2 linked regions of the Lonchura striata genome follow. The main gene of each other region encodes a partner of the protein of the gene in region 2 in a complex. Links are inferred from orthologs where the notes say so. Each region holds a gene or a part of one and is shown on either strand. Other genes may lie near its edges.

The links.
Region 1: the proteins of IRF2BP2 (region 2) and VGLL4 are in contact, whole or in part, in a crystal structure (PDB 8YTF), measured with the Homo sapiens proteins. The link is inferred for Lonchura striata from reciprocal best matches to the Homo sapiens genes IRF2BP2 and VGLL4. Residues at the interface, in NP_892017.2 of Homo sapiens: Thr516, His517, Phe518, Val519, Gln520, Pro522, Phe531, Leu557, Trp564, Ala565, Phe566, Met567, Glu570, Thr573, Ile574; in NP_055482.2 of Homo sapiens: Arg161, Ser163, Val164, Ile165, Thr166.

The regions. Positions count from the first base shown.
Region 1 is NC_134614.1:5,200,306-5,211,497, reverse strand, and holds the start of VGLL4 (transcription cofactor vestigial-like protein 4), read right to left. Parts: upstream 5,356-11,192; 5' UTR 5,072-5,355; coding exon 4,990-5,071; intron 1-4,989. UniProt on the Homo sapiens protein: May act as a specific coactivator for the mammalian TEFs.
Region 2 is NC_134605.1:45,046,157-45,058,203, forward strand, and holds IRF2BP2 (interferon regulatory factor 2-binding protein 2), read right to left. Parts: upstream 4,971-12,047; 5' UTR 4,855-4,970; coding exon 3,825-4,854; intron 3,593-3,824; coding exon 2,871-3,592; 3' UTR 683-2,870; downstream 1-682. UniProt on the Homo sapiens protein: Acts as a transcriptional corepressor in a IRF2-dependent manner; this repression is not mediated by histone deacetylase activities. Represses the NFAT1-dependent transactivation of NFAT-responsive promoters.

The sequences.
Region 1 (11,192 bases), on a different chromosome or scaffold from region 2:
AGGGGGAAAAAAAAAGTTAAAGCATGACCTAAATCTATCCTGCCTTTGATGATGGAGGAAAATAAACTGAATTTTGCTGTCAGTCCTGAAGAGGATATTCCCAACTTCATGTTAGGAGGAAATGAGCAAGAAAAGCCCAACTGTGAAGCTGGGGCTCTTTGTTTTTTTCCTGAAGATGAAAGAGATTGAAAATGCAAAACCCACTGAATGTTCTATAAATGGGGACCGCTCTGTAGATGCATCTTAATTTACATGGCTTTGAACAGAATTTTTACACTGTGTTACAAATAAGAACACTTAATTTGCCATGAAGGAGATTCTTATCCAATTCTTAGCAGAATAGTGCTTAAGTCATTTTACATATTTAGAAACTAACCCGAATTTTGCAGTTAATAGGAGAAACTGATGTTAGAGAAAGAGAAAAATGCAAGGTCAGCAGAGAGAGCTGATGGAAACTCTTCTTTAGAACTTAAGAAAACATGTTGCATTTCGTCAAAAAGCAAATTAAGTTAGCAGGATCTGTGCCTCTGATAGCAAACATCTGAAGTGGCCTTTTGGGGAAGACACAGACATTTTCAGGATGCTTTGCAGTGCCCTGAGAGGACACCCAGCTCTGCAAGCCAAGGAATGCTCCAGCCTTACAGGAAGTCAGTGAAATAATTATGTAATATGCCACTAACTAATGAAAGCTGTCCTGAAACCAAAGAGGGGTGTTTTGATAGAAATCTGGATCCAATTTTCTTCATAAAAAAAAAAAAAATCCCAGTCTTCTAGACTATCCAGAGAACTCTACATAACTATTTTGAGTGCTCCAAGTAACATGCCTGGGGGATTTCTTAGCATCTTATTGCATTTCTTTATACCTTTCCCAGCACAGCAGTTCCAGCCCTGAGAATGCAGCAATAACCCAGAGCATCTGAAACGGGGAGAGAGAGAGGAAGGAAGGCAGAAATCTGCCTTCCAACACAGCACCATCTGTGATAAACAACAGAACGAAAGGGATCTGCCTGGAGACTGCTTCTCCTCATGCATATTCCGTGGGAAAGCAGGAGCCAGAACTGGCTGGACAGCCCTGGAGTCAAAGAGCAGCATCACCTGTGCTCTGCTCTGTTTTGTTTAACTCTGAGCACTCCATTACCTCAACAGCGGGCTCAGAAGGAATATTGAGCCAGAGTTAAGTGAGTTTCCACCACAAAACGAGATGCAGATGTTCCAGCCCGGATTACCTGGCTGGATCAAGTGGCTGCCATTCGATAGGAAGCACTGGGAATGCCAGCCTGCCTCAGAATGCTGCTGCTCCTTCTGCACCTCTGCCAGGGCTCCCAGGAGCTTCCTCATGGCCCTCAGCTCATTAAAGCAAAATAATGATCTGAAAGCACCACTCATTAAACTGGCCGTTGTTGATCGCTGGCAGCAAATGTTGAGTAGAAGAATATCGGATGTATTCACGCTAAAGATGAGCATCCAGATGCCAAGGCAACAATTCTCTATTTCTACTTTCCTATTGCACCAAAACTATTATAATAAATTACTTGAAGTGGTTGATCATCACTAATAGAACTGTCCTTTTCCACTGGTGAGGACTACACATCCCCACTGGAGTGATTTAAAAATTTTCTTTCAAATGTCTTTTTTATGCAACTTGCTAAAAAAAACCCCAACCCATTAACATTCAGATTTTTCTCCAAAAGCATCAGTTGGATTTGAGATTACCATGGGGCATCATGGGGGTTCAAAGCTAGTAAAGAGATTAAGAGAAACCTCCAAAGGACACAAATAATCAGTGTAAAACAAACAACCTTGAGGAAAAGAAATGGCTTTATCCTGTGCTTCAGAGTTATGGACCACCTTTCTAAAACTCTTTCCCCTCATTTCTGGTTATAATCCTTTTCCTAGCTGTGGCTGTTTTAATTACATGAGTGCACAGAAATCTCCAGGAGGCTACAAAGGCACCTTCAGAAGTCATTTAGAAACCTCCTGCTCAAAACCAGCCTCAGGCAGGATGGGATGCTCAGGTGGGATTTGAGTATCTCCAAAGGTGGAGACTCCACAGCCTCTCTGGAGAACCTGTGCCTGTGCTCTCCAACCTCACAACACAAAATAAATCACCCCACCTTTGAGAAAACAGCCAGGCCTGCAGCCCAGCCTCACTTTTGGACAGCTAATGGGAGAACTTCCAGCTCTCCCACTGCCAGCCCAGCCCCAGCAGAAGGACAATTTGCTGCCCACAAGGCAGATCCCATCTATGTTATCACCATTTCTTCTCTTCCCCCAGAGAGGAGGCCAAAATCAGAGATGTGTTTAATGAACTAAACAGCACAATATTTCCATGCTGGGAACTCCGTGGCTGGACTGTGACCACGAATGGCACAATTTAGGAGCAGACTGAGATGAAGACACAGCTGAGTTCTTGGGAGATTCCTGCTCCTCCCAGGCAGAAAAGGCTCTCCAAGGCTGGCATTAACTCAGCTCACAGATAACAAACTGCTGTCCGGGACTCTAGCTGGGCAAGAAAATGCAGGACCATGCTCAGGATGCAAATCACACTCCTCTGCTCCATGTCCAATTTAAGGGTTGACAGATACACACATTGGAGGATCTTTTCCTATTTCTTAGGGATCAACACATCTATGATCCAAAGGCTGTTGCAAATCCAACAGTTCCAGTGCCAGAAGAGTAAAACCATCAATAAACTTCATAAAACATGCTGCCATAGCTCACCAGCATAGAAATAATCTCAAAAACAAAAAACAAATGCTTCAAGAACGAATCTAGGGGAACAAGGAACCCATCTATTTCCTGTGGCCTATAGGCCCATCACTCTTTCCTCTGAAATTTCAAACCTATTTTTATCTTATCCTGCATCTTTAGAAGTACTTTTCAGGAAGGCATCCATTTATAAGTAGTTCAAGTGTGGCTTTCAGTAAATCCTAATTAATTGAGTTTGAGAGGGAGTTTTGTTGTCAGTGCAGTTACTACTGCAACAGTGTCCCTGGAAAGACAAGATCCATCACCGCTGACACAACTCACTTCTAAAATAAATACTATGGCAGAGGCCAGGAAGATCTGTAGGCATCTCTAAAACACCCTTTGAGTTCAGAGCAGATGTTGCCAGTGTTTACACTTTTTAAATCATTGGGATATAAACACCTCACTATAAACACCACTGAAGTTTTGCTTTTCTTCTCTTCATTTTATGTGTGTTTATTTTAGTATTAAAAATGTTAACTTCCAGAATAAGGAAAATAGCAACAGATGTTTAATCTAAACAAAAACTGCTCCAGTAGAGTGTATTCCTTAAGCTGTTCTTTTGCTTTTGTACTATTAAAGCTAAGATATGGTTAAATAATAATTACTGGAGAAGAGGGTGGGGAATAAAAATGGGACTGGAAAGAATCTTCCATAAATATAAGGCATAATTACAATGAATTGAAGTAACGAGCCAAAACTACAGAGCAACAAAACTTAGTGAAAGAAAGGTGTATTATGTAAATAAAGCTTTGCATAAAATTCCATGGTCTTCATAATTATCACTTGCTTCTCAAGAAAACACTAATTACTGCAGAGAGCAGTGAAAAAGTTAAAGGATCATGAAATGAAAAAGTTAAAGGATCCTGAAAGTTGTTTTTATTTTTTTTTCTTTTAAACCAGTTTTCTTGCTCTAACAAAGAAAGCATAGCATAAGAAAGAAGTTGGGAATTGAACTTCACAGAACCCCAGCTCTGTATTATTCAGCTCATCTTCTGTAAAAGAGCTTAATCCAAATGAATATATACATACATATTTGTCCAAGAAAGAAAAGGCAGGAAAAAAGGAGAAACAAAGATATTAACAGTACAACAGGGAGCCCCTGCACTTCCTGAAGGGAAGCAATGAGGCCATGCTGGCTTAGGGATAGAAAAGACTGTGATTTCCAAAGTGAGATTCAGCTGCCTGCGTTCTGGCCTGGCCTTTTCCTGAGCACTGTGAACAGATATCTCCTTGGCCTGTGTATGCTCCTCATTGTTTCTTTCCTCACAACTCCACCAAGTTTATTTTCTCAACGAACGTGGAAAGCGTTTCTGCTGAATCAGAAAAAAAAAAAAAAAAAAAAAAAAAGCTTTTCGCGGCGCTTGTGTGTGGCTCCAGCAAAACCAGCCCCGCTGCCAAGCCGAATTAGCTCAGTGGTGCCTTTCTCTCCAGGCAAAGCCAAGCCATAACCGCTTCTCGCAGCCGCACGTAGAGAAAGCCGCGCGGATTCACAAACCGCTGCTGCCCTGTTCCCGCGGGCGCCTTCCCAGCAGGGCTCCGCGGGCTGCCGGGGCAGGGCGGCCAGCCCCGGGACGGACCGTGCCCGGCCCGGGGGACACGCCGGCAGCCGGGCCGGACCGTGCCCGAGGGACACGCCGGCAGCCGGACCGTGCCCGGCCCGGGGGACACGCCGGCAGCCGGACCGTGCCCGGCCCGGGGGACGCGCCGGCAGCCGGACCGTGCCCGGCCCGGGGGACACGCCGGCAGCCGGACCGTGCCCGGCCCGGGGGACACGCCGGCAGCCGGGCCGGACCGTGCCCGGCCCGGGGGACACGCCGGCAGCCGGGCTGGACCGTGCCCGGCCCGGGGGACGCGCCGGCAGCCGGACCCACGCGTGTCCGCCCGCGGCGTGGGACGCACGGACAGAGCCCGGCCTCAGTGCCAGCAGCGCCGCCCGCCAGGGAAAGCAAAGCAGGCGCTGGAAACGCGGGTTGTGAAAATAAATAAATAAATAAGAACAGGGGGAGAAAAAAAAAAAATCACAAAGAAATCCCTGCCCTGTAACAAAGCTCTGACAACAGCCCGAGGGGCGTCCCGCACCGGCGATCTCCAAGAACATCCCCGCTGACAAACAAGAGCGAGCGCCGCTCGGAGAAGGAGCCATCCTGGAAGGGATCCATCCCTCCCCGTGCGAGGGATCGAGGGATCCTTCCCCCCGTGCGAGGGCACCGCTCATTCCCCGTGGCGAGGCACTGTTACCTTCGTAGCACAGGATGCCGATGTTGTTGTTCATCTTGTCCAAGTACTGGTAGTTCAACAGGTCCATCCTCATAAACAGCATTTATCGGGCTGGCGGAGGCGAGCGGCTCCGGGCGGGGGAGGCAGACGGTGCCGAGGCGCTCCGGCTTCCCAGCCCCAGCGAGGCCCAGCCTGGAGCGGGGCGGGAAGGGGCAGCGGGCTCCGACAGCCCGGGCAGCGCGAGGGGAGGGAGCCCTCCCAAGAGTTCTTCCGAGTTTTAAAAAAATAATAATTAAAAAGAAGAGCGCTACAGCAAAGCGAAGGCGGCGGGGAGGAGGGCGCAGCCCGCTGCGAGCGCCGGCGCTGACAGCGGCAGTGCCCGGCACTGCCCGGGGCCGCGCAGGCGCTGCCGGCCGCGGCCGCTTTGTGCTCCGCGGGGAGGAGCGGCCGCGTCAGAGCCGCGCACAGGAAGCGGCCGCGGCTGCGGGAGGAGGAGGAGGAGGCTACGAGGGGAGGAAGCGGCGCCGAGGGGCCTCCTCCGCGCTCGGGGGGCGGGTGCCGAGCCTGCTGTTTGAAACCAATTCTGCGGGAAGCAATGCGACAGCAGCCGTGGAATCACGGCGTGGCATCGCAGGAATGATCAGTGGAATCGCAGGAATGAGAGAGGCAATTAAAATAAAAGGCGTGATGCAGTGGCCATTGCCTCCGTGTATTTAGTTTATATATAAATAGTTTAAAAAGGTTTCTGTCTCTACATATAAACGGGCATCGCACACATTGCTGCAGTTCCATCAGGGCACAGCCAGATCGGATTTTTTAAGGGCTGCTCGTGGTTAAACATTCTGGGCTCTGGATCTTTTCCTAGCTGTGGCTGTTTTAATTACATGAGTGCGCAGAAATCTCCAGGAGGCTACAAAGGCACCTTCAGAGGTCATTTGGAAACCTCCTGCTCAAAACCAGCCTCAGGCAGGGTGGGATGCTCAGGTGGGATTTGACCATCTCCAAAGGTGGAGACTCCACAGCCTCTCTGGAGAACCTGTGCCTGTGCTCACCAACCTCACAACACAAAATAAATCACCCCACCTTTGAGAAAACAGCCAGGCCTGCAGCACAGCCTCACTTTTGGACAGCTAATGGGAGAACTTCCAGCTCTCCCACTGCCAGCCCAGCCCCAGCAGAAGGACAATTTGCTGCCCACAAGGCAGATCCCATCTATGTTATCACCATTTCTTCTCTTCCCCCAGAGAGGAGGCCAAAATCAGAGATGTGTTTAATGAACTAAACAGCACAATATTTCCATGCTGGGAACTCCGTGGCTGCCAAATCCCTGGCTGAGCTGACAGAGGCGATGGAGCCCGGTGCTGCTCCAGCTCTCCCGTCCCTGGATGTGGGCTGCCCCTCTGCAGCCCCAGCCTGGAGCTCAGAGCTGCTCAGACAGATGTGTGCCCTCATCCCGAGAAGGCAGAACATCTGGGCAGGTGTGCGAACCTGGTGGGCATCAGTTCACATTTGCTGTGGGTCATCAGCGCCTCAAGTCTCGGGCTGATAGGAAAAGAGAAATAAAAAAAGCCAATGGAAACCTAATTTTCCCTCTGCCCGCTTCAGCTTGGAGCACAGATCATCCCTGCCCATCTGGGATGAGAAATCTTCATGGTGCACACAAGGGCAGTAGCAGTAAAAAACTTCAATTTCCACCCTGAGAACTTCTCCCCTCTGCTAGAGAAGGGGAAGGGATGACATGACAGAGGCAACTCACAGAGTGACACTTTGTGATGGCATTTTGAGAGTTACTGCTTGAATGCTCTGGGTATTCCAGTAAAAACAGGTAGCTTAAATTTACTGCTGGTGTCCATTGAATATTCTAAGGAAGATTGCCTAGAACATAAAAAAGGTTTATTCTCAGTGCAGATACACAATGTTGAGGTAACAACACATTTCTTGATTGGTATCTAATAAAAAGTTGCAGTTGTTTTGCAAAAGTTGCAACCACACAGACCAAAGCATCCCATGCTATTTTCCAGAAAGATAAACATTTTTAATAAAGAGTAGTGTATGGTAATTTTTAAGCAGGGCATGAGAAGTTTTGCATATTGTACATACTCAGAGATATTCTACACCAATCCATCAAATTAAAACAGCCATCTAATAAAGACATCAGGAGAAATTTGAGCCCTCTAAGATATAAACAACAATAAAAATCCACACCTCCAACATTAAAAAAGAAAGGCATGTTTCTTCAGCATGAAACACAAGTTCCTCACCAATTTTGGGGACAATATTTTGATATGCATATAGAGAGCATCCCTGAATTCACATGAATGCAATACATTTATTGGGTGCTTGGGAAGGACAAGAAGATAAGTATTTGATTTTTTTTGCTTTGAAATACTTGGATTTTTGTGGGAGGTGCAGGTGATGAGGAAGAAAACACTATTTAAACTCCTTTAGAGCAGTGCTCTAATAGACAGGGGTGCACATGGCCATTATAATTCCCAGTCCAATTTGAATTCTCTATATTCAAAGTTACATATTTCTTCAAGCTGTTTGGAAAAGCATGATTGGGTGCTGTCCAGAAACCACTGACTACTCAGAAGCGCTGTCCAGACACTAATAAAGGAGTTAATTCTTCTTTATTAGACCAGTAGTCACTGGTGTGCAGGTTTTTAGGCAGTAATGATCATTGTTAGGTGAATGGCTTTCAGCATTTCAGTACAAACTCTGATTGAACTTGTCAAATGTTGCATAATGAGTGTGCTTTACAATAAATAATAAAAAACTGTACCAAATACCAAGAGCTTTTTGAACTTCTAAATTAAAATACCTGTGCTGCAAACAAGGCAATGCCTAGTGAAAGAATGGGGGAGAATTATCAATGTAAACATATCCATTACGCTGCATTTTAAACCCAAAATCCATTCTTAGGAAAACTTTCTTTGAAAGAAAATTTTATCAGTTCAACAAACCCAAGTCCAGCAGACATTAACCTCAAATACTGACAGGGTCACTGCATAGTACTTGGTTCCTGTCAGCAAATTCTCAATTCAGTTTGCTGCTCATCGGTCTGAGAGACCTTCCACTGAACAGAAACCAATCATCAGTGCAGCAGAGGGCTGGGGAAAGGCTGCTTTTCATCAGCTCCTTCTGCTCCCTGAGAGCTGAGGCATCCCTGCCTCTCGCTGGCTGGAGTATTTATTTCCTCTAGGGTCTCACACTCCCTGCTCCTGGCACTGAACCCCAGAGCTGGGATCCGCTGGGAGAGCGCTGAACTTTAATTTAACACAACAGCAGCCTCTAGAGGTAAGGGGAAAGGCACAGCTCCGGTGGGATTGACATGGATTTTCTTCTGATGACCCCACAGAGCAGGGCACAGCCTTCAGCCTCTCAGGGATCTGCTTCACCTCAGCCCAGAGAGCAAATTCAGTCTGCACACAGCAATGTCTCACCGCCTCACAAGACAAAAAAGCAAAGGAAGGAAAGCAAAAAGAGCAGGTAAATCACCTCTGTAAATCACCACTTAATATAAAAGCAAATCCCTACAACTGTATATTATTCGACTGTATATTATATTCTTAATATATCAAGTCTGTGATATCAGATTTGACAGTGAGATTTTATATGGGTTTTAGAGCATTTGAACAAGCACTGAGCTGCTTTAGAGCATTACAAACATACAGGGAGCTGCATTTTTCTGTGTCTTTTCTCTGCCCTTCTCGACCCTCTCCTCTCTCACATGTGCTGCTGCCTCAGGCAGTGCTGAAGAACGTGAGAAAACAAAATGCCTTTGGTGCCCGCACTCCAACACATCTTCCAGGGAGAATATGGGCAACACTGGCTAAGAACCAGCCCCACAATAGGAGACAGCTGGAATTCCACCCGTGAAGATCATCAGCAGAGAGCAATTATTGAAACAGTGACCAGTTCTGTACCCGAGAGAAAAAATAGTCTTTATAGAGGTGGGACACACTCTGCTGTGTCTGTGTGGCCACACAGTGTTGCTCAGCTTAATTCCATTTTTGAGTAGATAATTGTCAGCTGCAGCTCCTCAGGTCAGACAGGCACCTACTGAAACCTCAATGCACACTGAGGAGGAGGTGGAGGAATAAAGCAAGAACATTTAAAAACAGGTTTTACCCTTTTTGTTGCCCTAAGAAAAGAGCAAATTCGAGTTGAGGGTTGCTAGGTGGCGATGTGCCTGAAGGAAAAGGCTTTTCTTTTTCCATGCACTCCACGGCAGTGTGTGGGAAAAGCTGCTCTCAACATCCCTGTTGTTACATTTGTTAGAATGCATTGCACAGGAAAAAGGCAAAATAAAAATTCCCCTTGAAGCAGGATGGGGTGTTTGCTTTGAAATCCATTCAGGTGTGATGAGGAAATACAGTTAAAATGGACTGAACATGCAGCAAACCCAGAAATGGATGACAAGGAAAATGACATTTCAAGTTCCTTACAAGCAGCAACAAACACTTCCCTTGGTGAGACAGACAGCACAATAATAACTTTACACACGCATTAAGCACTCAACTGCACCAGTGGACAGAAGATATCAAAACACACATCATTCCCATGTGCATTCTTCCACCTTTTTTTCTTAATCATGAAGTTGCATTGCAAATAGATTTTAATCACATCCAGCTACCTGTTCCCTTAAGATAAATCAATAACTAAGGAAAGCCCCATCAGGGTGGGCATCTCTGAGCTCAAGCTGTGTCTTCCTTTTTGACCTGTCCCCTAGTTAAAGGTTTCAACAACATGCCAGATATTATAGAACAAAAATATGCCTTTTTAATTGTCACTGGAGCTTCTCAAGCCTGAAATAGGGAAGTTTACACCCAATATTGTAATGAAAGAATTTGTGCATTCTATCATTCTTGTCATAACCTAAATAGGGAATGCTGCTTTCAAAACCCAAACACAGCATTATCTAGTGAGGAAATCTGCTTATGAGTGTGTGAGTGTCACAAAGTGCTGTGCAACTCACATTGGAATCCCCCGTGAACAAAATGCCAGGGAAACTAAAAATACAGCAATGCCTAAGAGTGTCTAGAATTGCAAGAACTTGTAGGCCCAGGAATAGATGGTAATGGCTTGTCTGGACGGGCAGATGGACTGATTTTTTAAGGTTTATTTTAAATGCCTTGCTGCACTGCAGTTCTTATTCAGTACTACTCTCTTCTTTAAAGACACACAGATTGCAAAAAGCATCTCACCGTGGCGGTAAATAAAAATTTCAGATCACTTGTTTGCAAATACTGAGCAATTTAGGACCATCTATGTCATATCAGATCAGAAAATTCCAATGTGTTTATCAACTCAAAAAGCTTTTGGTGAATTAAAACCTGCCCCCAGCAGCAGGAATCATTTACCTCCCACCCCAAACTAAACACACCTGCTGTCCTTCCACAGCCTTTCCCAGGTGGGAATTTGGGCCAGGAAAGGCAGAATCCCTGGCAGGGCACAGACAGAGCTTCCCTTGTAGGATTTTTTTGCAAAAACCACAATTAATTCTGAGTGAATATATAAAATAGGCACAGAGGTGCTGGGCGAGGCCTCTGGTTCATCAAGAATATTTTCCATTTCTCACTGGTATCTTGCAGCTCTCAATTTGCTGGTGTTTTTCTCCTTTTGTTTTCTTAGGCTGGGCTGAGAAGACTTCAAAAGTGCAGCTAAAGCACACAACAGATAAATCTAGTTTATCTGTGTGGGAAAATTGTTATGTGCTAATTAAAAACTTGATAATATTTTCTGCTATTTGCATACTATTTTAAATCTCTGAAGGGTTGATGATAATCACAAACATAATTCAACTTGAACTACAAAGAGTCTCAAACACCACCAGAGCCTCCAGATGCAAGCAGTGAGGTGCAAACCTTGCCATGCCCTGTTTGTGTTAGCAGGGCAAAAAAATTACTTAATATTCTTCCAATATGAGAAATGAGAGGATAAAAAAAAAAAAAGAGAATTACTAAAGAAAAAATGCCAATTTTAAGTCAGCTTGATGCTCAGGCATCTAAACCACTTTTAACTTAGGAAAATTAGGAGCCAGACTGTGTTTAGAGGTTAGATTTCAAAATTACCATGTGTATCCCTCAGCTTTGGGAAGAAGCAAATCCAGTTTCCAGGAGCCACTAATTACAGGGTTTAGAAATAAAGCAGAGAGCTTTAAGATTGCTCAAGTCTTTGAAAACATTTCCCCTTATAGCTCTCTTGGCAAGACATGAAATACA
Region 2 (12,047 bases):
ACTAAAGCACTTCAAAATAATAGAAAAAAAAAAAAAAGAAAAAATTTGTAGCCCAGGAAGTAGTAATAAAGAATCCACTGGAATATTACTGTAATTGAGCAAAGCAACCAAAAAGAAAAAGCAACATTCAATGTGAGAAAAATGAACTATGTATGAACACCCTCAAATTTTTTTAATTCTTTTTTTGTTTGTTATTTTGTTTTGTTTGTTTTTCTTTTGCAGTTCTGAAGTTTTATGGTGGAGGTTAGACATGGCTGGGGGCTCAAGTCAGCTGAGTGAGCATAGCCACCGTGTGCCATTTCTTTTCCATCTATGTTGTTACTGGGCCAGTGCCTGGCATCAGTGGCTGGGGAGTTTCCATCCTCTCCAGGAGTCACAGAACTGCAGGAGCGGGTGGCTGGCAGGAGGAGGAAGGTGTGCTTCCCTACAGGCCTCTCACACCAATGTCCCTCTGCCCCAAAACAAGGGTGCGCTTTGTCAGGAGCTCAGGAGCAGGTCTCACCCTCAGCACGCTCACAGCTGGGACACCTGATGACACAAAATGGGGGGCTCTTTTAGGCAGGCTTTGGAATTCAGTTTCTGCTTCTTTCTTAAGAGCAGGGACACCGCCTTAATCAAACCATGAACTTCATCCCATGTAAGGTATTATGCCAAGCAACTTTGAAGAACTTGTTACCATCTATCAGCTCAAATTCCATTTTTTTAATAAAGTGCCTAGATACACATTTACACAGATCATAGTGGTTCCAAAGAATCCTTTACAGTTGGCATTTTTTTATATATAGGTATATATATAGGTATGTATATATATATAATGTGCGTTTTCTTCAAATTGGCTAAATGTGTTTACATAAGACACCAATCTTGACTATAAGTTTTAAAGCGTAATATTGACTCAATGAATTTGTTTATCATGCAAGTCTTATCTAATATTACATTGACCTGTAATATGGAACACAATGTAGTGGGTGTGCTCATTAAACACTTCATAGAAAATTACTGTGCATGTGCAGTTCTGATCTTCAAATACTAATAAGGACCATTTCTTCTCTTTTTTAAAAAAATTAGTCTTAAAAAAAAAAAAAAAAACCAAAAAACTCCTCTGCATTAAATTGCAGTTTGAACATTATCACAATAAGAACAGTTGAGTAAAAAGCATCCAAAAATCTTGAATTTTATAGTTGGCTGAAACGATTTCTCCTCCTCCTCCTCTTCTGATACTAGAAGTGTTTATTAGCTGGTCCCTGGGGATGACCTCGCCACCTTTTTGCTCAGAAACAACCGCAAATAACCGAGTTATAAACACCTCGACAGAAGGGCTCGTACAGATGCAGTGTTGCCAATGAACTATAAACAGCACAAAAACATCACTATTAGACTTGAACTATTTCTAGTAACCAATGATTTATTGATTTTAGAAGTCTGCTTGGTGATGCAGAAGCGTGATCAAAAGAAGTGGCTTTACAAAAGAGTTCTCCAAAGTAGCTTAAAAGGCAGGGCCAGGGCCATTATGTACAGCCCTAATTGCTTTCATTTCAACCAGTTTATATTTTCATTTTCAAAGAATAGCAGTAGGTTTGTTTCAAGCATACGTAATAAGGAAATTACAGGTTTCCTCCACCCACATTTGGGCTGTCACTGATATGCCCGCGGGCAATTTGGCAGAGCCTCAGTCACTGCTGTCACTGTACCACACCGTACCTGCCACTACTTGGAAATACCGGGTCAGCGATAGTAACAATAGCAACAGCACTAGAGGTGACTGGTAAGCAAAATCAAAATCCATATGCACTATCTGAAAATTAAAGTAAAATAAAATAAAGTCTCTTCCCCACATCCCCAGCTTGTTCCAAATACACAAAAGCCCCACAAGTGACACTGAAGACCTTCAGAAATGGCAGTGCTACATTGGCACCTTCACCAATCACGTAACTAAGTTCATTATCAAAATTCCACGTTATGGTATGTAATTGGTGAATAAATGCAGTTTTGTAATCTTAGAACTGATCACAAGAACTGCGGTCAACTTTGCCTTGGAAAAAAAACGAAAAAAACAAAACAAAACACCAAACCAAAAACAAACAAACCCAGAAATCCCTAACTCAACAGCGCCTCTTGGACACCTCTCCACATCCTACTCTGGTGGCAGCTTCCCTTGAGAAACAGTGAGCAATTTGGGACTGGATCTGGAGGATCTTCCATCGCACCCTGAGCCACGCGCTTCTGGGAGAAAGCCCTCCTGCTCCCTAAGCTCGCCTGGCCAGTGGGATGGCAAGTGCATGCCTGCCTTGGCTAGCCACTCTTGTCCCCAGCTGCCTCAGACCAAGCCTGCATGCGACCAGCTCTACAGGACAGGGGCCAGGAATAAGGAATCACAGACAGTAAGGCAATCTTTACAATGTCAGAAAGTGTATTTGGCATTTAAAAAAAAAAAAAAAAAAGAAAAGGAAAGAAAAAACAGAAGAAACAAGTGCATACAAATACAGCTAGAAGCATTTCTGGTTTGCCAAGTGCTCTCTAAAAAAAGCAGCGCAAGTCACAGCCTACATTGAACAGTAACTGTCACCAGGGAAGCACAACAAATAGTTGCTATAACAAAAGGGAAAAAAAGAAAAAACGAAACAGAAAAAAAAAAAAAAGAGAAGAATTAGAAGAAATGCCTTTATAATAAGTACATACCTTTGTCTTCAAAAAATATAGAAACACAATGTATTCAAAAAAATCAAAATTATACAGCCATGTTTATGAAGTCTACATTTCCCTTGTCTTGGAGATATATATATATATATTTATATATATATATTTATAGATATATACAGAATTCGAGCAGTTCGAGTTCAAGGTGACGTCGGGCAGCGAGTGCAGGCGAGTCACGAGTCCCTCTCCTTTTTCACTTTCACATCTCCGGCCAGGATGGTGGCGATCTCCCCTTGCATGAAGGCCCAGGGGACGTTGGAGCCGACCAGGGGACACTTCTCCCCGCTGGGGCAATACACCTCCCCGCTGGCTCCCTGCTGCTTGATGCTCTGCCGGGAGCAGGGGAAGCAGAACTTGTGGGAGGGGACGGAGGGGCACTGCACGAAGTGGGTGTCTTCCAGGCGCTCGTGGCAGAGGGTACAACACAACGGGACGCTGGCGGCGAGGGACGAGTCCGGCAGGCTGGCGGGGTGCACGGGCTCCAGCCCGCCCGCCGCCGCCGCGCTGGCCCCCTGGCCCGGCACCTCCCTGCCGGGGCCCAGCCTTCTTTGGTTCATGGCGGAGGGCGAGGGGGGGCTGCTGCTGTTCCTCCGCGTGGTGGAGTGGACCTGGTTGGCGTCTTTGGAGGCGTGGTTGCCCCCGGCATTGTCCGCCACCAGAATGAGGGCGGCCATGGGGGACTGGCCGTTCTGTGCCGCCTCGGGCGGCGTGGTCCGGTTGGAGTGGGGCGAGGCGGTGGGCGGCGGGGGCGACATGAAGGGGGTGGCCGTCAGCGGCAGCTTCATCCCTTCTGACGGGGTGGGCAGCCAGGGCTGCACCTCCCCGTTGATCTTCGGGGGTCCAGCCTCGCCCTCCGGCTCGGGGGAAGGCTTCCTCTTCCGGGCGGCCCGAGCCCCTGCAGAGGCAGAGGTGGGGGGAAGGAGGAGGGTAAGAAGGCAGCGCACTCGCAACGCATTGCCGAGCAACCGCGAAAACGGGCGGCCTCGGCCACCCCCCGGGCACCCGGCCACCCAAGCGGCCGGACCGCCGCCCCGCACGCCCAAAGCCGCCCGGCATCCCCCGCCCCGCATCCATGGAGAGCCACCCCTCCCGCCCTGCCCGCCGCCCCCCGGTCCCCGGCTCCTCACCTGGCTTGGCCACGGAGCCGTTGGTCTCGTAGCCCAGCAGCCGGCCGCCCGCCATGCCCGGCTCTTTCTTGAATTTGCTGTCGAAGGGAGCCACGGTGTGGCTCCCGTGCTGGTGCAGGGCCAGCAGCGTGTCCCGCACTGTCTTGGGCTTGGCCAGCCACTCCTGCTCGGCGCCCGGCCGGCCCTTGCCCTCCGCGGCCAGCTCCGCCGCCGCCGCCGCCGGCAGGCTCTCGGCAGAGCCGCGCTTCTCCTTGGCGCCACTGTCGTGCTCCCCCGCCGCGCCGCCGCCGCCGCCCGAGGAGGAGGAGGAGACGGAGCCGGGACGCTTGTGTCCCAGCTCTCCGGGCTGCCCCGCCGCCTGCGCCGCCGCCTGCGCCGCCGCCGCCGGCTGCTGGGGCACGGGCACGGCCATGGGGGCGGGCGCGGCGGAGATGGCGGCCAGCGAGGCGGCGGCCGCGGCGGCAGCGCGGCTGCCCAGACCGCCGATGGCGGCAGGGAGCCCGGCGCCGTTCACCAGCGGCACTAGGGTGGGCGGTACGGCGTGCGTCCGCCGCGGGTTCGGGCTCTGCCGGTTGAGCTCTGGCGGCTCCTCGGGCTTGGGGAAGCCGTTGGGCACCAGGATCCCGTTGACCTGCCGGCCGCCGCCGTACTCGGCGCCCAGGCGGGGCGGCGGCCGCTCGGCCGCCAGCGAGTAGCGCTCCAGGGGCTGCGGCGGGGGCCGCGCCGCCGCCTCCGCCGCCGAGGGGTGGCCGAGCTGCTGCTGCTGCGCCAGGAGCTCCTTGGCGGAGAGCGGAGGCTGCTTGGCGTGGGGCGGTGGCGGGGCCCGGCCCTCGGGGAAGCAGCCGTGCGCCCGCTTCAGCTGCCGCGCCGTGTCGATGACGAACTCCACGCGGTCGGCGCCCTCGTAGTTGACGCAGCCCCGGCAGACGGGCTCGGTGAAGTCCCAGATCATGGCCCAGGGCATGCGGGGCAGATCGCACAGGTAGCACGACTGCCTGCGGGAAGCAGCCGCCACCGCCGCCGACGACATGTCCCGGCCCCGGGGCAGCGGCGAGCGCCCCCCGCTCCGGCTTCGGCCGCTGCCTCCTCCGCCCCTCGTCACCGGAGTCCCGACGGGCAGGCTCGGGAGCCGCGGCCGCAGCGGGACCGTCCGCCGGGCCCCCTCCCCCTCGCCTTCCTCTTCCGTGCGCTGGAGCGGGGCGCGGCGGGCGCCCCGGCAGGCAGAGCCGCTGCGGGGAACGCCGCTCCCCTCGCCGTCTCCGCCGGCGGCGCTCACAGGGCGGCGGGGACGCGCATCTCCGCCGCGCGGCTGGCGCAGGGCTGCGGCCGCTGCCGCCCGCACGGCTCCCCCGCTCTCTGGCTACTACGGGGCGGCGCGGGGCGGCGGGGGCCGGCGCGGCGCGGCGGGGCGGGTGGGGCGGGGACTGCCACGGGGGCCGGGGCCGGGGCCGGGGCTGGCGGCGGCGCCGTGCCGTGCCGGGCTCCAGCCGCCACCGCCGCCTCTGCGCGCCGCCGCTACGATTCTTCGACAGTGCCGGCCGCGCCTGCGCGGTGGGCGCCCCCGCCCCGCCGCCGCCGCCGCCGCCGCGATCCCAGCCCCGGCCCCTGCCCGCGCCCCCGCCACCGGCACCGGGGGTTCCTCCTGCCGCCGGGGGGCCGCCGCGACCCCGCCCCGATGGCCCCCGGGGAGGGCTGTGGGAGCGGAGAGGGACAAGGCGAGGGGCGGGGGTGCCCCGCAGCTCCCTCCTTCTTTTCTGATTTTATTTTTATTATGGTTGGGTGTATTACTATTCCCCTCACCGCCAAGGGGCTTTGCCGAAACCTCCCACCCGTGGGCGCAGCGGTGCGCGGAGCGCCTCCCGCAGTGCGGGGCTCTGTGTACCCCCTCTTGTCCCCCGCCGCGCTCGCCCTGTGACCTTGGACACGGCGCCCCGGGCGCGCCCCGCAGCTGCGAGGTCCCCCCCGCCGGGCCGGTCATCGCCACCTCCGGGCAGGGGCCGGCGCCCCGCCGAGCAGTGCTCGGCTTTGTTCTCCCCGCCGGAGCAGGAGGCACCATTACAAATAAATGTAACGATTACCCAGCTTTTTTTTTTTTTTTTTTTTTTTTCCTTAACTGTTGTCATTGTGCACAGGAAATAGGACGTTCTAGATTTCCTGTCATTTTAAACCACAAACCAGCAGTTCTCTAATGCAGATTAGCGAAATTCACACAGACTAAGCACACGCCGTCTCGTTCCCAAAAAAGAAAAACCTGTTTCCCCGACCCCCTTCCACGCTGTGAATCGCTCATCCGCCACCTGCACCCGCACTGAAACACAGGATGGGGGCAAGGGAGGGAGCAAGAGAGGGTGTTCGCTCTCCTCGTGTGTCACGGGAGGTGAAGCAACCCCTCAGCGGGCGCATCCCGGCACGTACGGTCGGCTGCACGCCTTTGCCCGTGCGGGGTGAACACGGCGGAGGCTGCTCCCCCCGACAGCCGTGCTCCAGCCGCCCTTCCCACGGCGTTATGTAGGTTACGGAGGAGGGAGGGAAAGAGGGCGGGAGGCGGGAGCCGGGAGCCGGCCGGGGCTGGGGAAGCTCTGACGTCCGTCGCCGCCGCCGGGAGGTGCCTCCCCGCGCCTGGGGGCCGCCCGACGGCGCTGCGGGGCTGGCCCCGCCGCCAGCGCCCGGCCGGGCTGCCGAGGGGCGTCGGGGGGACACCGGGGGCAGAGCCGCGCCCCTCTCGCCCTGCGCTCGCTTCCCGGGGCCGGGACTGGGTGTCGCGGCCGCCCGTGCGCCCCGGGGCTGCGGGGGACCCTTGCTTCCCCCTGCCTCGGCCTCCTGCTCGTCCTGGCACTGCGGCCCCCGTGCCAGGTTGGGTGACTTTGCAACTGCGCGGCCAGCTGGGCGCCCCGGAGGCGCCGGGTTGTACATAAGCGCAAAAAAAGTCAGCCGCGGCCCCAAATCCAGCCCCGCGCACGGTTGCGGCGGCCGGGGCTGCTGCCCCCGGAGCCCCCACAGCTCCAGCAGCCCTGCGGCGGCCGGCCGGGGCCGGAAGGCAGGAGCAAGGAGAAGGGGGCAGCCCTGCCTTGGCCCCGACGTGCTCCCGGAGAGCCAAGGGTTAACATCGGCTCGCTTTTCTCGAGCAGCCCTCCTTTCACGTTGCATCAAAGTCCTTTAAAGCTGTTTCTTTTCCCTCCTCCCCTCCCCGGCTGGAAAGACGATTTATCCATGCAAGCTAAGTAAACAGATCTTTGTTTTCGTCTTCCACCCACTGCCCTCTTTCTCCAGCCCGAAGCTGGAGCCTCGCCAAGCCGGCTGCAGCGATCACTGCCTCCACACACACACACTCACACACACGGGGCGGGGGAAGAAGCCGGGTTTCTCGGGTGAGGCAATGCGCCTGCAATTGGCAGGGACAAGGCAGGAATTGTAATTGCACTTCATCATGTGATGGCTTATGAAAGAGGAAGTTTGGATGTTTTAGTCACGTACTCCTTTGCCCTCTTGCTTTAGCCTCCAGGTTCTCCGAAGGAAAAAATTACATATATTTATATATACTGGTGGAAAGCCAAGAAACAGTGTGTTTGCACATTTTCAGATCATGAGCCGAGCTGGAGTGCTAGCTGAGCGAGGCTGCAGGGTAAGAAGAAAGCAAAGCTTTGAGCTGTGGCAGGCTTTTAACTGCAGGACAGAAAATGTGATCTGTATTTATTTTCCTTTATTTTTAATGAAAACTAGCTGCATGGAAAAGTCAAGATGAGCAGTATTCTGGTTTTGCAGCATTTGCTGCCTTTGAATTCATTCTGGTGGAAAAGGAAAAAAAACGCCAACAAAATCATGTTACCAAGCTCAATGTCAAAAACCTGATAAAAAAATAGTGGCAGTGCTACATAGGAAATGTGGTTTATGTATCAAATCACAAAAAAAAATACCTCAAAGCTGCTGACTGTTACAGCAGTAACTGCACAGGAATTGAACAAATAATGAATTTGTCTCTTGTTCTTTTTTTTTCTCTTTTTTGAAACAGAAGCCATTCCTTTGTGCCAGATCTCTGCTAAACTCCCCTCAATGCAACACACCAAGGCTATAGATAGGAGCAGAGAGTGCTGGACAATGTCTTATGGGGTGCAAGGCTATGAAGGTCTGGGGCAGTCCCTGACCAAGGAGCACCATGGTGGCATGGGTGAGGGTCCAGCACGGTGTGGAAGGCTTTTGTCTTGTTCTGGTGTGCCCAGTATCATGGGTGAGGGAAGGAGGGAAAGGTTGTAGTGGGGCGGTTCTTTGAGTTGAACTCTGTTTGCCACCCCCACATCAATGACATGCCCCTTCTCACAATGTGTTTTTTTGCTTTTGTCAGTGAACCACGCCGAGATCTTCCTGTGTTTCTCTTCCTCCCTGCAGGGTTTTATATCCTTTCCCGCTTATCCTCTGCACTGGCAGCAGTGATTGCATGCAGACTCTTGTTCCAGAACTGTGCCCCCAGCCTGCACTTCACCCACATACCTATCCCCCATGGGGCCTGCCCTTCTGTCTGTGTCCAAACCAGTGCTCCTCACTTGATCACCTCTGCCCTTGGCATTCTTCTTTCCCTTCTGATTGAGGGCTGTCTCACAACCTTCTCCAGCAGATACGCACTGCTTCCTCCATAGCTCTTATTTGCATCCTTCTGTTGTGGCAGCAGTCCTGCAGGGTAATATCAAAATGGCCAGAGCCAAGATAGGAAAGACAATTATGCTGAAGGATGTTACCACCTCTCCTTCATTGATTTATAATGAATTATGGAGGTTGCTCTCTCAGAACTGAGAGAGGAGAGGTTGAGAATAGTCCTTCAAGTTTTGGATTTAGTCAGATGCAGGTGACTTTGAGCCAACAGTGTTTAATCCAGTGTTGTAGGAGGGAAAAAAGATACTGATGCAAATGAGGGTGTCATCAGGCACAGCATGTTGACATAAATAGGGTTTGGACGGGCTCATGGTAAGCCACTGATCCTGCAGATGTTTACAACCAGTTACAACTTTATTCACAGGAGCATCACTATGAATGTAAAGCTGTGTGCACTTATGGGCTTGCAGGATGAGAGCATGCTTCCCCAAGAGCTGCTCATCAGTGGCATGCTGACGGCTGCCCTGCAGCCTGGAGCTGACTGCTGATGGCAGGAGCTGACAGAGCCACTGGCACAAAAATACTCCACTGAGGCCGGAGACAGGTCACTGCACTCACTCAACATGAGGCAGAACGTGCCAGAGGATTGAGAGGGGCTCGAGCATCTACTCAGTGTCTGCTGTTTCCCATACATGGGGCTTTTATTAACTCCTTGAAGAAAGCTGCATTGAATACTGCTGTTTGAGAGCTACAAGGAACCTAAGCAGAGCCTGCCTAGAAGAGGAAACAGCAATAGGACAATCGTTTACCATTCGTTCATGGATTATCCCAAAATATGGAGATGCAGCATATGCTGCTATTCTGCTCCAACCCTTTCCTCTAGACAGCATGGTCAGGGTTAGTTACCAGGGACTTGCACTGTGAGCAAGAGCCTGTGTGCTACAGCTTCTGCTCCATTGGTGGGCTCTGCTCTAGGCAGTTTGGAGAAAAATTTGCATGCTTTCTTTAAAAAAAAAAGACAATTCTGTTTTTAACAGCGCAGTTGACTTTATGCCCTCTTTTCAAGTAGGAGTAGAAAAAAAGCGGCGAGGAAAGGATCGTGGAAATACTTAAGAAATTCAGAGGTTACTACCCTCCGAAGAGAACGAAAAACTTCAGAGAGACACTTCCAGATACCAGAAGAAAGGGCAATTGATGTGGAAAAGCTTCCGCCCCTTATCCCCAGGCTGAGTAAATAGGCATGTCGGGTTATCCCATTTACACCTCGCCTTGGTGCTCTGCATTTCGAGCCACAGTCGGCAATTGTCTGCAGCCACGGGCGAGGGGGGCAGGAATGTGGTGGCCGGGGGCTTCCCGGGGCGCAGGCAGAGCGGCCGGCTGGCCGGGTGACCCCTTCCCAAAATAAACAGGAAGCCCAGGAAGCAGTGACCCCTCCGTGACACCGCGCTGGCTCTGCTCCCTGCCTTCTGTGCGGGAGTCGACAGGCTTCCAAATACCCTCAGAAAATTGGACAGGGGCGAGGACTCCACAGGAAACGTTACAAAATAAGAGCAGAAACAGATCGTCTGTTGAAAAAATTACAGAGGGCCTTAAAGCTCCTTCTTCTTAGGTTTCTGGGTAGTTGTATTCCTTGTCTGTGCTTCATTCCCCTGAGCCCATGTCGATGCAGCTTGCAGAGCCCCGAGTAGCTGCGCAGGGGCAGAGCTTCCCCCTCGGCATGTGTGGAAGTGCTGGTGTGCGTGAGCAAAGCACAAAGAGGAGCCCCAAGGAGGCTGCGCCAAAGGCTTTCTCAGATGGGCTGGGGAGTTCAGGCTGGGAAATGCCTTTTCCCTGTTTGTGGGAGTTGGCAGTAGGGTCCTCACACAAAATAAAACTCAAAACCGAGGACTAGACCTTCTCAAAGTGCGGGCCAAGGGTATTAATGTTGTTTCCAACATGGGAGTTCCTGCATTACCCAAACATCCCCCTGAAGCAGCAAACTGGCGCTTGCTGACAGCTCCAGCTGGCAAATCACCTCCCGGGCCTGCCAGAAGAACTCGCCGTCCCAAAAGCCTCCCCGCCTCGAAGCCCCACAGTTTGGGGCAGGACAGGACCACCACCAGTGGGGCAGGCAGCCCAGCTGAAGGGAGACTGTGCTGCTGCTGCTATCCTGGCAGCACCGGCCATTTCGCAATCCCATTTTTCTACTCACACAGCAGCAGTTGTCTCGTCCTTCCTGCAGGCACAGACACCTGGAGGGGCTGAGGGCTCCTGGGGGCAGGTGCCGATGGTTTGAGCCCCACACAGATCAGCTAGTTCAAAAAGACTCAGGGGAAAGAAAAGGGGAGATGGATTCCCTCTCTGATTCCCTGCCAATTGTTAGGATTGTATAGCTACTGAACAGTGGGTAGCAAACCAGACATGCCCACCTATTTGGGTAGCAACATGTACTATGCTGGTGTGCTCCCCTATCCCCCCCACCTCAGAGGGGTTGCTCTTTAGGAAAAGGACTATAGTACAGGGAGCAGTGGGCAGCTGCTAGAGGAGAGTCCCTTGAACAGACCAGGTTTCCTTCCGGAAGAATTTTGATCATTGACATGCAAAAGCTGCAAAATGGTTCATTAGGCTGCAGCCTTGGTTTGTTCCAGGCACATTGAGATATTGTTGTGGTGCTCGTGTTTCCGCTAGTCATTGCAGCTATACTATTGCAATTTTGCAATCAGACAAGAGTCAACAGAAGGGTGCCCAAATCTGAGAAAGCACAGAATGCAAACAAAATTTGGTTTTGACCTCCCAGCACTTCCTCTCATTCTCTCCCTTTCTCTCTTCCTGATGCTCAGGCGGTGCCCCTCCTCTGCAGGGAATCCCTTAGGGAGCATTCCGGGCAGGCAGAGCAAGGAGGAAATGCTCCTCTCTGTGCTTCAGCCCCATAACCTTATCTTTTTGCTGACTGCAGTCTAATATGCTAAGTAAAAAAAAGTAAAAAAGGATATTTTTATCTTGTACATTCTGTCATATGAGTAGTATGTGTATGTGCAGCAATGCTGAGGAGCAATACTTACAAGTTTAGACAATAATGATATAGTTGTATTGCATTACTTCATTCTGTCCATGTGTACTTTTGGGCAAAGAAAATCACACACATCCCTTTTTCAGGCACCCACATCCCTTCTGCTCATGCTGAGCTCCAGAAGGAGGTGCCTGGTGGGAAGTTGAGTTCATATTTGATTAAAAGAACACCAGCAGCATTAATAACTGGTAGACCTGTGCTGGAGCTGGAAATTAAACTGTCTCCTCCTGCAAATTCCAGTCATTAGAGGAACTTGCCAAAGGCCAGGGCTTGCATATCGCTTGGTCTCCCAAACAGGACTGGATGAGGACCAGTCATCTTCAATAATAGGTCTGATGAAGGACCTCATGTCTTGCTTGAGGAATGGCCATGCCAGTGAGCTTGCCGGGGCAGCTGCTGAGGCTGCTTGCACAGCTGCCACTTGCTGCTGATTCAGGGGTCTTGCATGTGTTCCTGGGAGGTGTCACACAGGCATCCTTCAGCAAGCCTCCCTCTAACACGTCTCAGCAGTTTCCACCTGCAGCCCATCACAATAAAGAGCACCAAGGAGCTGCCTCTGCTCCATGGTCTATTTGCACTTCCCATATGCC